Oryza sativa Japonica Group: one gene and its partner. The protein of the gene in region 1 interacts with the protein of each later gene in a pairwise test. Links are inferred from orthologs where the notes say so. Each region holds a gene or a part of one and is shown on either strand. Other genes may lie near its edges.

What was found.
Region 2: the proteins of nuclear cap-binding protein subunit 1 (region 1) and nuclear cap-binding protein subunit 2 interact in binary tests that used the Arabidopsis thaliana proteins (3 or more experiments, as listed by UniProt). The link is inferred for Oryza sativa Japonica Group from reciprocal best matches to the Arabidopsis thaliana genes ABH1 and CBP20.

What each region holds. Positions count from the first base shown.
Region 1 is NC_089037.1:13,041,807-13,044,749, reverse strand, and holds the end of nuclear cap-binding protein subunit 1, read right to left. Parts: intron 2,933-2,943; coding exon 2,633-2,932; intron 2,532-2,632; coding exon 2,350-2,531; intron 1,949-2,349; coding exon 1,837-1,948; intron 1,273-1,836; coding exon 1,153-1,272; 3' UTR 757-1,152; downstream 1-756. UniProt on the Arabidopsis thaliana protein: Component of the cap-binding complex (CBC), which binds cotranscriptionally to the 5'-cap of pre-mRNAs and is involved in various processes such as pre-mRNA splicing and RNA-mediated gene silencing (RNAi) by microRNAs (miRNAs).
Region 2 is NC_089036.1:24,583,924-24,587,852, forward strand, and holds the start of nuclear cap-binding protein subunit 2, read right to left. Parts: upstream 2,291-3,929; 5' UTR 2,104-2,290; coding exon 2,086-2,103; intron 1,980-2,085; coding exon 1,756-1,979; intron 739-1,755; coding exon 600-738; intron 512-599; coding exon 478-511; intron 239-477; coding exon 140-238; intron 1-139.

The DNA of each region.
Region 1 (2,943 bases):
ACAGTAAACAGAACCAGCACCTGCGCATTGTCATTTACCCGAAACCAAAGAGATTTTTTCCACGTGTTTCTCTGCAAAACAAAGCCATAAACCTGTAGATATTATTTGCTTGCAATTTTTGTCAGCTCCTAAACATAGTTTATGGATTATGATATGTAAGGATTAGGCTGAGTACGCTTTGCCGCGTAAATATTTTACGCACTAATTATGTGCCCGATCAAATGAGTATAATCATTATCCGAAACATTCGTTTTGTTGCCCTTGTTTAACACACTAATTGGTGACTTCGGCACCCTAAAAAAACCGTCCATTTTTCGCTGGATGATTCATCTGTCATTTTTCAAATCAAGCGCCTTAATTTTCATCCACCTGATTAGTGAATAAATATTCCGTTGCATCCTAGGGATAAACAAGAAGTATAGTTCGGCTTCAGTTGGTAAACGTCCCATTCCAGTTGTAGTAGCTATGCTGTTTTGTTTGTGGCACAGAATCTTCCGTTTTACTCCGTAATGATTCTTTGCAATTGCATAGAAACAACAAATTAAAGACAGGAAAGCGTGAAGAGACCCCTCTTGGACCTAGCTCGTGATCCTTTTTCCGATCTACCCTAACCCAGAGATAAAATAGTCGCTAGTGTACAAAGCATAGCATTACCAAGATTTTCGTTATGGCAGCTCCAGACTCCATGGCAGGTAAAAAAACAGCTTTGACAGTGCATGCTCAGTAGAAGCTCAGAAGACGTTGCAAGGACCAGTGTTGCAAGCAAGTTCCATTGGAATTTGGACCAAGTAACAAACCCACCAATGCGACAGCTCAACATGTAAAGTAATGACGGCTTCAGATCAGCTTATCAATAAACACGGCGTTGTCCTAACACAGGCAGAGGGAATTAAGAAAGCTAGACCATAGCAATTACTCACCCAAGAAAATTAGTCCACTACAATTCAAATAAACCTAACTGATAATTTAATCACCTAAAGTCGTTACAGTGCTTTCCACCAAGGGTGTTCCTCGGGGCCAGGATTACAGGAGAATCGATGGAGTTCCTGAGTACACATCAGAGTACTTTTGGGCATGTCCAGTTAGTGAAGCATGATGAAAAATTTGTCGCGTATAATACAGGTAAACTCCAACTCACTGGAAGGGTCAAAATCAAAGGTGAGACCCTTCACTGGTAGGTCTGCACAAACCGGAGAAAGCAGCTTTCCGGATAAGAGGGTGAATATTCCCAACGAAAATCTCCTGATCCAACATGGCAATATGGGACCAGATCTGCAAAATATGTGTAATATCCAATTAGTAGAAGCTATGGAGGCCATGGAAAAGAAAACTACTTAAAACGTACTGCAGAAAAATCAGTCATTTACTAAGACCTTGAGTTCTTTTGTAATAATAAAACAATTTTAACATGCAGCCTGTGATATTTGGCTCTAGTACACCGTAGCCTGGATATTTCAAATGCTAACACATTAGGCTTCTCAACTTTCTCCTGACTGTAAGCTGTTTGGAACTTCTAGGCCATTTGTTTCTTTTCTTTCATGTTTGCCCTTGAAAAAAATAAATACTACTACACCTCTCACAAATAAATGACTATTCTTTTTTCCAGAACAGTGTAAATTAAGGGTAACAGAATCATTTGAGCTTTTTTCTTAACTACGGTGCACAAGTATAAAATGATTTACATTTGGAATCAAAGAGAGTATACAGAAATTGTCAGACAGATAGTTTAACTACACTGGAGAAATCCAGTTTGGCCTAATCATTTATAAAAAGGAATTTGATCTAACAGGTATCCATATTACAGCATGATAACTCTAACTCCCCACAGGTCCTCACCTCAGTAGCATATTGACGAGAAAACGACTTGAGATAGCCCAATGTGCAGAGACACCATTGCTCAAGCTCTCCAACATTGTGACTGATTTTCTTGTTTTGACCATTCAGCTGACTGCTAAAGCATGAAGACAAGTTAGCAGCCGAATAATGACAGCCAAGCCCCTAATGCAGGCACGAACATATTTATACTGAACAGTAAATATGGGTTCCTGGCACTTCAAGACATAGGTGAATACTGCAATTAAATCATGGTCAGCTGATATTAATCCATCCAAGAACCTGTTTGTCTTGACTGGTATCTAGCAATCTCTACTGAATTTTTTTTCTACATTTTAAGAGTAAATTACTCTTATAGATATATGCAGGACTAATACAAAATCCTAGTCTACTAGAGTTCATGCAAGCTTTCCACAAAAAGCTCGTTTCAGAATGAACCGCCCATGAAAAATAGTTGTCCATCCTGTAAAAGTAGTTATCCTAGTAATAGCATTGCAAACAAAATAATAAACTGACCTATCGTTATCTCCTCCATTTTCATTGTCTATTTCCATGGTTGTTGCTTCAGGGTCACGGGCTGAAGAATTTACATTCGGGTCTCCAGCACGTAAATTAGGAACATCTCCATCAGCAGAAATAGGTGGCAAACGTTCAGTTAGCACTTCAACAAAGCTCTTGAATAGTAACCTAAGCAATTCCTGCAAAACCACATGAAGAAAGGATGCTCAACTCTATTATTATGGGGCAAAGTACCAAGCAACAGTACAAAATTAAGGTGATAATAAAAGCAACGGAGCACCTTGCTTTCTTCAAGCCCTCGAGCAAGGAGGGCCTCCTTTGCTTCTAAAGATTCTTCAGTGGTTACTTCTCCTTCTTTCGCTTTGTCAGCACGCGCTTGAAGTCGTCTTAGCCTTCCTGGATTTTCAGATGGCACAGGTTGGCCATCTACAATCTCAATAATAGATTTAGCCTCCTCCAACTCTCTGGCGGCCTTTTCACTGGCCTCTTTAGCAGCTTGAAGACCTTTCCTGAGTGTCTGAATTTCTTTCCGGAGGTCAAAAATCCGATTGTATGTTTTACTAACAGCATTTCTAAGAATCTGCATAAGGG
Region 2 (3,929 bases), on another chromosome or scaffold:
TGAAAAATATATCAAGAGGCCACACATGCAAATCTCTAACAAAGCAATTACTGCAGTTAATAAGGTTAACACAAATGAAAATTATACAAGGATGTAGTTAAAGGCTTAAGGTACAGTCCTCAAAACTTTCAGCACTTACATTGAGGTGGTGCATTAGGTTGAAAAGCACCTCCATAGTCAACTAACTCACGTTGTGCTTCTAGCTCTTTCTGAACCATCTTACCATAGCCACCTCTTCGTAAGATTCATTAAGGAAGTAGCCAACTCAACAGAAAAAACATAGCAGCATGTAAAGGCATACAAAATTTAAAGGAGCGCTATTAAGAAACAATCAGCAGATAGTTGAATTGCCATATTTAGGATGGATCTACAGGTAACATTTTCATCAGTATGAACTAACACGGATGGGTTTCTGAGTTACCAGCATAACCCCGCTCTAAATGTAATAAATGGTAATTCAATAGTACCAAAGGATATCAGGATCGTAGTCCGTGCGGTACTCATCCCTTACCTATGAAAAAAGAAACATGAACTATCATCAAAAATATGGTCAAATGTCATACATTTGTTATTCATGCAGAATAAGATCATGGTAATACTTGTCCACCACTCCGTCCACGACCCCATTGTCTGCCTTCTTCAAAGCCCCAATCAAAATCAACACGAATTGGGCGATCATCAAGCATTGTTCCACTAATATATTTGACCGCATCTTCAGCATCCTCCCTGGAGTAGTACCTGAAAGGAAGGAAGGTATTATAACGATATGTAGGCTAACAGCACATACACCGTTGGCTCAAACTAGATAAATGTCATTTTTACATCTTCCAAAATCCAATATAAACTAACAACATGCCCGATGCACAAGACAATAAAGCAATATATGCCTATCAGAGAATAATCCCTTCCATAACTGTAAGGTTAATAGAAGATTGATAATTCAAGGGGTGCCTTGCTGCCAGGAATCCAAGACACGCACACCAGTTAAAGGAACTGTGGTATATATTTTTTGAATGAACAAAAAAGACATACTCTAACCTTAACAGATCAGAGATCAAGATGATGCCACATTTCGAATTAGAGGTACAAAGTATGGCTAACTACCAGCATACAAAACCCCAAATTCGAACACAAAACACCAAAACAAGAGCCTGAATACATAAAAAAGATCCCAATAGACTCTCAAAAATCACCAGTTGGCCAAATATAACTTAAACCATGCCCCCTCGACAACCAAGACACATCTGGACCATATTGCGGACTAATCAACACTACATCAGATTAAAAGTAACCAAACAAAGGGTAAAAAACAAGAAACTTGGTGCACTATATTGGCCCATACTAGCGGACCAAAACCAGCTCTCCAAGGAGCCACATATGAGCTCACTACTACAAAATTACTCACTTAACCAATAGCAATATCTAACTGCTCAAGCCAAATATTCGCACTGAGATAGAATTCTTTGCTGCCCGTATTCTAGGGAAAATCACACATTCCTGCCAGTACCAACACAACATCAGACTCCTAAAACTCCCTTAGCTTCTCTGTCACAAGTCACAACCACCATTGATACTTCACTGTTAAATCAATGCATAACTAGAACTAGAAAAACATCTTAAAAGGCACCAAACTACATTTGGACACCCGCTTATACTAGAATAAAACAGAAGCAGCACCTTTAATTTGAACATAGCACCAAACTACATCTCTTGTATTAAAAAAAAAACGGATTGAGGAAGGAAAGGAGAGGGTACAGTATGAAGCAGAAGCCGCAGGGGGTCTTGGAGTTCTTGTCGAGTCCCATGATGATCTTCCTGATCTCGCCGGCGCGGGAGAAGAGCTCATAGGCCTGCTCCTCCGTGGTGTAGAAGGACATGTTCCCGACGTACACCGTCACCGACGCCTGCAGCGCCGCCTCGTACTCCTCCTGCGTCCCGGTGAACCGCCTGTCCCGGTACGCGGACAGCTTGGTCGGGTCCTGGAAAAGCGAATCGGGCGAGCCGCCTCAGAGGAAGGGCGAGAGGAGGGGGAATCGACGAGCTCGGGTAGCTAGGGTTTCGGAGGGGGGGGGGGGGAATCCGTACCTTGAAGAGGGACGCCATTGCTGCGGAGCGGCGGCCGCGCGAGGACGAGCTGTTTGCGATTAGGGTTTTGCCTCCGATTTCGAAGAAGGTCGGGTGGGGATTGGGGAGTTTTGGGGAAGGGTTTCACCCTCCTTGCGGGGGATTTGCCGAACCCTAGTTGCCCGGGAGGCCAGGAGCTGCAGCCTCCAGGTAGGGGAGGACGGGAGGAGCGATGTGAGTTGAAAGTCGGAGGAAGGAGATGAATAATTTTCTCCGATTTCACGAGATTTACTCTAAGTTTGGGGTAATTCCGTTAAATTTTAGGCCCTCTTGAATGGGAGGATTGGTACGAGAAATTTTAAGGATTGTAATCATAGAGAAAAATCTCCTATCATACAACCCTTTATTAAAGGAAAAATATTGAATTCTACTGTTTTGTTTGAAATTTCTATGGAATAAACAATCCTAAAGTGATTTTATATGAAAATAACGAATTGTCATAGCTCATGTTTTCAATTTTTTTCTTACAATTTTTCTTGCGATACAACAACACCTATTTTAAAATTTCCTTTTGTCTTTCTATAAGAATTAACAATCCTTGTTACTAAGTCGTGTGTTTTTTCAATTTATGTGTTTTAAAGGAGTCTTTAGAGCATGTACAATAGCGGGCTATTAGCCAGCTATAAACATATTTTCATGAGATAAAAGATGAGAGAGAAAAGCAGCGGGCTACAAATATGTAGCCAGCTGCAGTACGGACTTCAAGACGTAATGTGTGTATGACAGGTAGGACCATATGTTAATAATATAGTACGCAACTATTGTATGAATTGGCTATTAGATCGGCTATAAATAAATTGGAGCTAGTAGTAGGCTATACTATTGAACTTGCTCTTAGGCAATAAGAAACTTCAAAACCAAACTGAATTTTGGTTTTGAAATTCAACCACGCTTTTTATGCATGCTAACTCGAGACGAGAATCTGACTCCTAATTGCTTCAGAATTTTTGCCAGACCATAAGAAAGCAACGTACATGATATGGCCATTGTCACAACATGGGTTATGCTTTTTGGAAAAAAAAATCTATCTAAATATAGCTAAAACGAAATCACCATACACGTTAATTGAAGAGAAAAAAAATAAATAACTATACTGCCAGGTCGCGGTAGGTTTAAATTAGAGTGAAATGCGCCGTTATTACCATAACTTGCAAGGTGGGTGTAATTTAGTCACCCATATTGTAAAATGCTCAAACAAATCACTCATCTTGTTTTGGGGGTGTAAATCATATAAAACATGTGTCGTATGGAGTGTTCGCAATGAAGTTATATGCTATATTAATTTATTTTGCAAACATGGTCACACGATTCATAAATAATCCAACGTGCAATACTACCGGTAGTAAAATTCAATTAATGATGAATTTTGTTATTGATTGCCAAGCACAATATGACCGTGTTCATTGAAAGTAGGGGTAGTAGTATATACATAAAAATATAAGTGTTAATTTGTAATTTTAATGCTTATCCTGTCTACATTGGTAAAAAATGCATGATGCTAGGTTAATATGGACTCCAATTTGAAAACAAACAATCGATGTGAAAATGTATTTGATAACATTTGCACTATCGAAGCAAGATGAGTGACTTGTTTGAGCAATTTACAAGATGAGTGACTAAATTGCACCCACCTCGTAAGTTGTGATACCATCGGTGCATTTTACTCTATAAATTATAACAACGGAGATTATATCTCATATATAACTGTCCGATCAGTTTTGTCCATTCAACATTCCTTCAGCTCACAAACAGACATAGAAGCAGTCAGCCCATGAGCAAACGTGCGGGTCTGTTTGGCACAGCTC